3 linked regions of the Daphnia pulex genome follow. The protein of the gene in region 1 binds, or shares a complex with, the protein of each later gene. Links are inferred from orthologs where the notes say so. Each region holds a gene or a part of one and is shown on either strand. Other genes may lie near its edges.

Evidence for each region.
Region 2: small nuclear ribonucleoprotein Sm D1-like (region 1) and E3 ubiquitin-protein ligase RNF113A-like share a complex: the UniProt entries of both Homo sapiens proteins name them as parts of the minor spliceosome. The link is inferred for Daphnia pulex from reciprocal best matches to the Homo sapiens genes SNRPD1 and RNF113A.
Region 3: small nuclear ribonucleoprotein Sm D1-like (region 1) and armadillo repeat-containing protein 7-like share a complex: the UniProt entries of both Homo sapiens proteins name them as parts of the minor spliceosome. The link is inferred for Daphnia pulex from reciprocal best matches to the Homo sapiens genes SNRPD1 and ARMC7.

Annotation. Positions count from the first base shown.
Region 1 is NC_060020.1:8,496,526-8,499,641, forward strand, and holds small nuclear ribonucleoprotein Sm D1-like, read right to left. Parts: upstream 1,618-3,116; 5' UTR 1,469-1,617; coding exon 1,455-1,468; intron 1,268-1,454; coding exon 1,191-1,267; intron 1,028-1,190; coding exon 827-1,027; intron 769-826; coding exon 683-768; 3' UTR 587-682; downstream 1-586. Other genes in the region: GPALPP motifs-containing protein 1-like, read left to right, coding at 2,050-2,523, 2,611-2,781, 2,850-3,005. UniProt on the Homo sapiens protein: Plays a role in pre-mRNA splicing as a core component of the spliceosomal U1, U2, U4 and U5 small nuclear ribonucleoproteins (snRNPs), the building blocks of the spliceosome.
Region 2 is NC_060022.1:4,929,342-4,933,177, reverse strand, and holds E3 ubiquitin-protein ligase RNF113A-like, read left to right. Parts: upstream 1-1,470; 5' UTR 1,471-1,694; coding exon 1,695-1,862; intron 1,863-1,933; coding exon 1,934-2,126; intron 2,127-2,182; coding exon 2,183-2,407; intron 2,408-2,490; coding exon 2,491-2,674; intron 2,675-2,739; coding exon 2,740-3,079; 3' UTR 3,080-3,227; downstream 3,228-3,836. Other genes in the region: protein unc-45 homolog B-like, read right to left, coding at 3,258-3,364, 3,449-3,617, 3,695-3,836. UniProt on the Homo sapiens protein: Required for pre-mRNA splicing as component of the spliceosome. As a component of the minor spliceosome, involved in the splicing of U12-type introns in pre-mRNAs. E3 ubiquitin-protein ligase that catalyzes the transfer of ubiquitin onto target proteins.
Region 3 is NC_060018.1:4,531,632-4,534,696, reverse strand, and holds armadillo repeat-containing protein 7-like, read right to left. Parts: upstream 1,867-3,065; 5' UTR 1,769-1,866; coding exon 1,660-1,768; intron 1,593-1,659; coding exon 1,287-1,592; intron 1,221-1,286; coding exon 1,102-1,220; 3' UTR 610-1,101; downstream 1-609. Other genes in the region: probable G-protein coupled receptor, read left to right, coding at 1-441, 519-558. UniProt on the Homo sapiens protein: As a component of the minor spliceosome, involved in the splicing of U12-type introns in pre-mRNAs.

The DNA.
Region 1 (3,116 bases):
AACAGAAACATTGCTAGTTTCATTTTGTATCTTGGCGGGAAAACGAGGAAAATGCAAATTTTGCATTTCATTCTATGTATGAATAATAGAAAATTAGGAGCAGATATCGCCGAAAGCCTCTTAAACGCAAATACCTCTTAAACTGAAGTTACAAAAGCAAATAAAACTTGTAGCCACGACTGTTCTTAAACATGTCAAGTTTTCCTTAAATTTGCGACATTCTTAATTTAAATTAAAGTTTAATGGTTTAGTCACAAAAAATTGAATAGTTTTAGTCTAAATTTAATAGAAAAGTAATTTAACTTTCATTTCCATCAAACTTTCATTACTTATTACACCGCTCTTTACACTTGTTTTTTCCCCGACTCCTCTGACAAAATGGCAAGAATAGTCAATATTCTTGAAATAAGCAAGGAAACGTTATGCGATGTCCGCTTATAAATCAAGAAAAGGAATTGACGGTTCTCTACAAATTATCTATGCTTACATGGGAGTCAATTGGAATTGATAAATAATTCTCATACAGACTCAACTGTGGGGAAAAAAGTGTTTGTTTTAAGGACTTTTCAACTGACCAAAAAACATATAAGACAATGACAATTTGTAATGCAAATGAAAACTGATTCCACATTTGCTGAAAAGAACGAAAAAAAAAATGGAAAATCGTTGGAAATTACAAATTTCAGCGTCGAGGACCAGTAGCACCACGTCCACGTCCTCGTCCACGTCCTCCTCTGACAGCTCCGCGTCCACGGCCTCTTCCACGAGCTAAAAAAAGAAAAGAAAATGAAAAGAGGAACACAGTGATAAGGGGAAAAAAGTTTACCTCTACCGCTAGCATCCTTCTTCTTGGCCTTGGCTTTCGGAGAATCATCCAATAGTAAGGTTTCAAGAGGAAGTGAATCAGGTAAAATGTAGTACCGGATGTTGTTTCCTCTAATACTCAAAGTTTCAAGCTGAACAGGGTCTCTGTTTTTAACTGTCATTTTCACAGCTTTTAAATGAGTGTTCATAGCAACATCAACTCCTATAAAACATAATCAAATGAATGAATTTAGTAATATACAAAACGGAAAACTTTTCTTCTAAAATGTCACTTATGTGTTTGCAATTTCACTAAGTTTTCGAAGAAAGTATTTAAGGATTGCAGTAAAATAAAAAATCGAATAAAGACAACAAAATTGAATTACCTGTTATTGTTCCATGAACCTGAGTACCATTTTTTAATTCAATAATGACTGTTTCGTGGCTCAGTTTCATCAAAAACCTAAGGATTATACAAAATAATGGTATTTATTTCAATTGAAAGCAGTGAACTATTTAAGTTGTGAAATATAGAAACGGCATAGTTTCCCAGACGCATCCAACAACCGGCTTAATACCCAGACCAAACCGATTTTTGTGGCTACTTTCTGTACGAATTTACTTGACAATGAACATATTCCGAAACTTACCTCACTAATTTCATTTTTGATAAACTTGTTGTTTGATGGCTGTAATAAAGTAAATCACCATATACGACTTATTGAATGTTTTAATCCTTAGTTTAGTGAAACGCACGAGGTACGCTAGTCAAAAACCAAAACTGCTTGTTGGAAGCATAACTTATACTAAAAAGGCCCTGTGACATTTCATATTTCATAACGGTCGATGACTATGATTTTTGTACTTGTAACGTAGCGCCATCTACGCAAATATTTTGAATTTTGTTATTAGACAAGGTTTATTTTTGCATATTTTAATCAAAAATTAACTAATAATAATTTTTTTTTATTATTTTAAATTTATTTATCAAAATAAATTCATAAATCCAGAAGCATTATCGAAGCGTATCATAGAACCGCATAGAACACAAGTGGCATGACATGAGTGACAATAAAACGTACTCCAAAACAGAAAACACATGAGACAGGCCTGCATACTATAACAGCATTTCCAGTAAGCTAAACATTGGGTTTCGGTTTCACCTATTTTCGATTTTTTAAAAATAATTCTTTGTCGGTAACGCATTCTCAATTTCCCGCGTGGTTTTAATTTTTCCCTCTCAAAATGTCTCGAATCGGACCAACATTACCTCCTCATCTTCAAACAGCGTATGAAAATGATGATTCAGATTCTGATGAAGGTGATCTCTACGGACCAGCACTTCCCGCTCATTTAAAATCACAGAAAGTGTCCAGCAAGTTAGTGCAATCAAATATCTCCAATGACAGAGGATGCTCTGTTAATCATGAAGTTGACTCTTCATCAGATGATGAAGTTATTGGACCACTGCCAGCTGATTGTATGGATGCTGAACATAGTTCATCAGTTGACATTGAACAGCGGGCTCTTAAGATGAAGAGGAAGTTGCTTGGTGTGGATGATGATGAAGCCAACAAGCAACCAAAAAGAGAAGATTGGATGATTGAGCTTCCAGAACTGAAAAGGAAAAACTTTGGCCTGGGACCTCGTGTCTTTAATCGTTCTGACAAACCTGAGGTTGTAGGGAGAGATCAATGGACTTCAACACCAACTTCCAAGGTTCAGATAGTACAATAGATACACATATAATGAAATTTTCTTAGCTGGTCATTGCTAATTTCTATAATTTAATTAATATAATTTTAGCAGCCTAGTACATCCAAAGAAAAAGATGAGGATTTTGAAGCTGAAATGAGGAAACAATACTTGGAACAAAAAAGGAATAAGAAGCTTGAGAAAATTGTGGCCATGCATGATAAATCCAAGAAGAGGTCAGAGAGTTTGTTGAAGACACATCAAAAGGAAATGAAAAGCAAGGTAATCCTACATTTTTATTTTTGCTGTTAAAGTTGGGGTAATTTGAAGTAAGATTTTTGTTTCTATAGAAAGACAACTCGTCCGGTCCTAAAGAAAGAAAACCTTTTGATCGTGATGAAGATTTAAAACTGAATCAACTCGATAATGCAAAGCGGAAATCCTTAATTAAGAAGTCCCAAGAATTAAATTCAAAGTTCAAAATTGGGAATCAAAAGTACCTTTAAATAAAGTGTAATTTCATAGCTTCAAACCTTGGTTCAAAATATGGTTCAGGTGATAACGTTTTTCCAAATTTTGACTATAAGTTGAAATTTGTTGATATCATGGTGAGCTGC
Region 2 (3,836 bases), on another chromosome or scaffold:
CTGCATATAGAGAACATAGAGCGAAAAGTCTTCATAAAAGGGCAGCAGCCCCATTAGAACGCGCGCGTAACTTGTGTGTGCTGTGTAAAGGATTGATCCTGCTGCCGTGCTGGCCCTTCTCTCAAAAGCCCCTTTTATACGTGTATAGTAGTGTAGCATGTGGATATTATATATCTTGTCTGGATCATTCAGCTTCTGTATAAATAGGCCCTCGCTTTATGCATAACATGTATCTATCATTGAGTCCCTATTTATAGCCTCCTCCCCTCTTTGCATAGAACGAAACGGTATATCTGCAAAACTGTGCTGCAATAAGTCAATGTGCCAATCCTGCTGGAGGAGGAAGTCAAAGTTTGGCTAGATGGGCTTTTCAGTCAGCGACAAGTTTGACCGAAAAATTACTTATACGGTACGGCGAAATAAAAATATTTTTTGTTTTAAATGAATAGGTATAGATATTGTAGTGCAGTATAGGTGTATAAATGGAGTCGGAGGATGGAGATCAAGTAGCTTTTCATCGGACGGTGAAGCGCTTCGTGCACTTTTGCGGCCGGGTTTTCTGGCCTGCGCGTTCCTTATTATTTCAACTTGATGAAAAGTGCTGGGCTAATTAAGGCGCTGTAAGGGAATCATCAAGCGAACGGCCCCCAGCAGCTAGCAGTCTGCTGATGATATAGAAATAATAAGCGCGACATCGGGCAAAGACGAAAGAGGCCCGCGGAGAACAAGCCCCCAAAAACCAGCAAAAAGAAAAAAGTAGACGAACGAAGAGGAGATAACAGTTCAGTGGCCGCCGCCCCACCCAGAAAAAAAAAATTAATAAAAATTGGGTAGGGGAATTAAGAAAATAGAATTATTATTCAGTCATATGTGGCGAAAAGGTTCTTAAAAGCTTCGGCAGTCTTTTCTAATTGATCGCCAGCAGAAGCGTATATAGTGCGTATTATTATTTCGAGGAGAAGAAAGAAGAAGGTCCTCAGACTCTGTGATGCGCCGAGCACATCTATACATATATACACGCCACCAGATTATTAGAGGGGAACCTACTAATTAATGAAAGGATGCTCCTTTTTGTACTGCCTGTGTGTAATCGAGTCGCCAGAGATTTTTAAGTAACGTGATTCTTCCCCCCATCCATTTCATTTGCACAAGGAAAATAAATCACCAAGGCATATGGAAATGATTAGAAGAAGACCATAAGAAATGACGACGATGCCTAATAATAATGATGTAAAGCAATAAGATATGTCGATTTTATTTTTCCAAAACAAATGCAAAATAGCAAAACCCGTAGTAGTAGTAGTAGAAACGGATGACGTTAAGATATATTCAAAGTCTCAAGCGGGTTTTCGGGGTCGGATCATTAATACCGACATCGTAGATGACAAATCTGGATCACAATAATAAAAGCTTTTGTGTGTGTGTGTGTGCATAGTTCTCTATGTACTAGTCTCTGTTGCTGTGCATATATATGTAAATCTGCAGCAGATCCCTTGCTGCGTATTCAATCAGTCATCAAGAACCCAATTAGAGGAATCAGACAACAGTGCACCGGTAATCCTTTTGAAAAGCCGACGACGAGAAGACGGAAGGATTTTTATTTTATTGTTCTCGTTTGTTGACAAGTCAAAATACATTTTTATATACAAAAAAGGAAAGCTTGATCCAACAAGAAAATCCACAAACAAACAAAAATGGCCGACGACAATAAAGTTTGCACGTTTACATTCAAGAAACGAAGAGGAGGAGGAGCCGCCATGAGGAGAAAAGCTGATGATGACAAGAAAAGCAGCAGCGAAGATGAAACTGTTGTTGCTCGAGTGGGGAAAAAGGAATCGGCTGGACTTCTTTCGGCTAAAACTGTGAGTTATTGAAAGTCTCTGCAAAAAGAATTTGTGTTTCTCATCGTGTTTTTTTCTTTTGGGGTTGACAGTTCAAATCCACGAAAAAGTCCCGTCAAGAAATCCAAAACAGCTCTGATGAGGAAGTCAAGGAAAAGGTCACAGTCGTCTTCCAGTCTGACAGAAGTGCTGAGAACAAGAAAGACGATCTTGCCACTTCCACAGTTCAGATCGACACTGCCGTCGATCAAGATGCCAGGACAATTTTTGAGAAATCTTTACAAAGTAGGTCAACTTTTTTATTTAAAATGAACCAAAATAATGTTTTGTTTCTTTGACAGTCCAGCAGGAGCTGAAAGGCAAAGCAGATGACAAGAAATATCGTGGCCTTGCTAACTATGCCCAGTACTACGAGAAAAGAGATACAGCCCAAGGAAATGCTGCATCTGCCAATGTGAGAAAAGGCCCCATGCGAGCCCCAGCCAACATCAGGTCAACAGTGAGATGGGATTACCAACCAGATCTTTGTAAAGATTACAAGGAAACGGGTTTCTGCGGTTTCGGAGGTATTCAAAATCTAACCAAAAGTTTTTGGGGTTATTATCATCATTCAGTTGAACTTTTATAAAGCTTTGCTGTGTTTTATTAGACAGTTGTAAGTTCTTGCACGACCGTTCCGATTATAAATTCGGATGGCAGTTGGAGCGAGAAGAAAGGGGAAAAGGTGAGCCGGCCGAAGACGACTCAAAGTATGAAATACACTCGGACGACGAAGATTTGCCCTTCAAGTGTTTCATCTGTCGCGAGTCGTTCCAACATCCCGTTGTCTCCAAGTAATAAAGACTCTCTCCTATTCATTTATAAGAAGGAGAATTTAACGCAAATTTTGACACGGCAGGTGTAAGCATTATTTCTGCGAGGCCTGCGCCTTGAAACATTACCGCAAATCGCAGCGGTGTTTTGTTTGCGGCAAACAAACTTTTGGTGTCTTTAACCCGGCAAAGAGCCTCATCGAGCGGCTCAAGTTGGAGGAAGAAGGCAAAACTTACAAGGAAGCAGACAGCGACGAGGAGCTCAACAACTTGGAATTGATTATGCAGCCGTCTGGCAGCACTACTGGTAAACCTACGGGAGCAACAGCAGATGTGGAGGAGCCCGTTACGGAGATTGAGCACATTCACTACGCAGACGAAGGAGTCGTGGCCAACGATACGGATTCAGATGATGACAGCGATTGAGGATAAGATCATCTTTATTTTTTCCCCCTACCATTCACGTGTAAGAATACATTATTTTGTAATTCCTTCTTTTTTAAATAATGCTTTCAATTGACGTATAAAGTGTATTTAACTTTAACGAGTGAATTTGCATAGGCACACAATTTAATTTTTGTTTAAATCATTTCATTAAAATTTATCAAGACTCATCTTCAGAGTCGTCCTCCTTCTCGATCAGTTTCCATTGCTCGGCGATTTCCAGGGTTGATTTGGCGCAGTCGCAAATTTTGGCCATTTCAGGTGTTTCTGTGTGCAGAGCGGATTCAAATGGGTTACAAAAAAGATTAGTTCAAGGCACCATGTCAAAAGTTTTAACTTAATCCTCTTTACCGAATTTGGTGAGAACTTCCAGGACCATAATAACCTCAGGTTGCAACAACTTTTCGGCCAACTCTTTCGAATGACTGGCGATGTTTTTGACGATAACAGCTCCTCGATATTGCACGTCTTTGTCCGTATTGCTCAGTAGGAAGCAAAGGATTTCTTTCCACTCTGTCGCCTATTGACAAATTTAACAAGAGAAAAAAAAAGTTAAAATCAATTCCAGGGAAAAAGTTAAAAAGAATGGAGGCAAACCTCGAAAACTTTCCGTGAAGCCCGTTTACTGACTGACGTCAGAATAGCCAAGGCTCCTGCAGCAGCTTTGGACATCTCAACGTCTTCTGAAGTGGAAAGTAAGACTAAATACTTGGTGCGGTCGTTTTTACCCTCAAAGAGT
Region 3 (3,065 bases), on another chromosome or scaffold:
TTCTCTGTTTCCTCCAATTAATGAAACGACTCCAAGAATATGGACTGTAAATCCAGTTGTCGTTTCGCAAACAGAATCAAGTATGGTCTCTAATAAGAAACGTAATAAAGCAATCAAGACGTTAGTGCTTACAATCGGTTCCTACATTGTACTGTGGTCGCCCTATTGGGTATTGAACGTGATCCCCATTGTTCATCACGAAGATTTTCTGTGTGACGCAGTTCCTGGGTACGTTACAAACAATGGCTCTATAACGGTGACGTGGCTTATGTATGCATCAATCAGCATTAATCCACTGTTATACGGTCTCTTGAATCGTGCCATCCGAATAGAAATCAAAGGCAAAATGCAAATGACAAAGCATTTTTTGTTTTGTAAGAATACGCAAACAGAATCAGCAAATCGAGAAGAGCATGGAGCTAATGCGGCAGAAAATTTCTGGTAAATTTTAATTTAATCCCTATAATTTATTAGTTATGTATTTACATTCACCCATTACACTTTGAAAAACTGTCTAGGGAGTTCTTGGAACGGACTAACAGTCCTCTTCCTGCTTGAAGTTAAACGTAGATCAGCTGAAGAGACGCGCCGAGAAATAAACGCATAGGCTACATGGATGTAGGTTTTATTTTAATCCTTTAAATTTCAATAATTTAGCGGTACCTTGATGAACAACACATTGCTGATTAATACTTGTGCACACGTATTTACAGACAACAATTTTTCTGGCTTCTACGACTTCTACTAGAATTTCTACATCATCACCAACTCGACAGGGATTTGGAAAAGTCATTGATTGTTCATAAACAACATAACCAGGCCCAGGTAACTGGGTGCCAAGAACAGCACTGACAAAGCCATTAAGCAAAACCCCATGAACTATAGCTTCCCCACCAAAATGAACTGAATTTAAGTCACCTGTCAACTTGGAAAAACTTTCCACATCTGCATAAGTTACTTTTTTAAGTTCTACTACTGTGGAGCCTTTCTGAATGAATGATTGAAGAAATCTTTTGTTTATCCCTTCAGCAAGATTCATCTTCATGTTGGTGCTCTTCTGGAGTATACACTTTATTCTCTTGATGAACATTTCCTTTCAAGTTAGCCTGAACTGATGCCAGATGACTCTTCTAAGAAAATGGTAGCCAAGTTCTTTATGTTTTGATTTTCACTATGTTTTAACAGTTGAATCTGGGCAATCAAGTCGGAAGTGGCAACATCTGTTGATAAACATAGATGAGAAATTAAAATCATAAAATGGTGTTACTTTTATTAGATCTTACTACCTGATGGAATTGCTGATGAAAGTAGAAAAATCAAAGTAGTAAGTCCGTGTTTCACTAAATCAGGGTTTTCAGACTTTACAAATTCTTTAATATGATTGAGTCCATTGTGTTTGAATATTATATCTTGGTTCAGGGGATCATTGGACAAATTACAAATACCCTTCAAACAGTATTCAACAAAGAATGGATTTCTGCTTTGCAGTCCGTTTAAGAACAATTCAATTATTTTGAGTTCTCTGATATAATCATAGTTCAAGGGATCATACGCAAAATTGGCCAAATTAGCTAAAACTTGTTCTTGGCTTTCTAAAATAATTGAAACAAATTATTTAGTAGTAATTTTTTAAAATTTGTTTTTAAAGATGAAACATACCAAGAGAATTCGATTGATAGAATTCATTAACCAACTCTTGAAGGAATTCGAAGCGATCTACTCCCTTTTTACCCGATTTTCGATAAAGTTGTTTACGAGTAGTAAACATTATCCCTGAGGGTAGTACTTGTACTACCAGAAGGCATTAAAGTAAATGCGGGTGTCTGGGTGTGTAGGAGGGGGAGGGATGTGGGGGGAGTGTACGGTGTTCTGGGCCAGGCTTCCAGAACCTTTAATTCAGAATCAGAATAAATTTATAGAAATCTAAACTACTGCATCGATTTTCTTCAAACTTTTTGTGTAAACTTACAGTAATTTATCTCAGCGGATAGGTAAGTTTCGATTCATTTGGTAATACTAAATTTTATTTCATTTTATGCGGATTTAGTCATTAGCTTTTTGTGACTTAGGACAACCACAAAAACCATTAGGTTGTCTGTTGACAGTCTGTTGATGTCTTGTTCAGTAAAAATAAATTTCGTCAACAGTTTTGTTATTGTTACAGGATATTGTTCCTCTTTTAGAGAAGTTCAGTGGAACAAAGGTATATTGGTGTGTGCTATTCCATTTAAGAAATGTACGTAAATTCATCAATTATGCTAGGCAATATTTTGGGATGAACAACTCACTGGCCCCATTGGTTTGGTGGCAGAATACAGTTTTCTTAAGGAACTAGATGTTGTAAAAATGTTCCAGTTAAAACCTGGGTGCTTGCCTTCCATATCTGTTAAAAATATACTGTTCATCACAAGACCTGAAGTTGAGCTGATGGATTGTATTGCCGATAACTTGCACAGGTATGAATAATCTACATATTTTAACTTTAAATAGTCAACAATAAGTTAATTTACATTTCAGCGAAGAAAGCCAAGGACATTCTGCTAGTAAGGAATATCAGTTAATTTTTATCTCCCGATGAAGTGCAGTATGTGAACAGCGGCTCAAGGTTGGTTAAAGTTACTTAAATCAGCGAAGAAGAAATTGTTGACAAAATTATTACTTCATTTAGGACAAAGGAGTGTATGGAACTCTTACTTCTATTGATGAACTGCCTGTTGATTTTTTCCCACTAGATAGTGATGTCATTTCAATGGAACTCGATAATGTTTTCAAGGTATTTATTTATGAGCCAAACTTTGAAAGGGATTGCTTGTCATCAATTTCTTCAAATTTATTCTCAGGATTTATATGTTGACAATGAAATCAGCTCCTTACACCAAATTGCTCATGGGTTAATGTCCCTCCAAAGTTTATATGGCATTTTCCCCAACGTTGTGGGTAAGGGGCGCCATGCCCGTAACGTATTCGAATTGATGACTCGAATGCGAGTGATATTGGGGTAGACTGTGATCCCCCCATATCTCCGTTGTTCGACACTCTTATGATCATTGATAGGACTGTATATT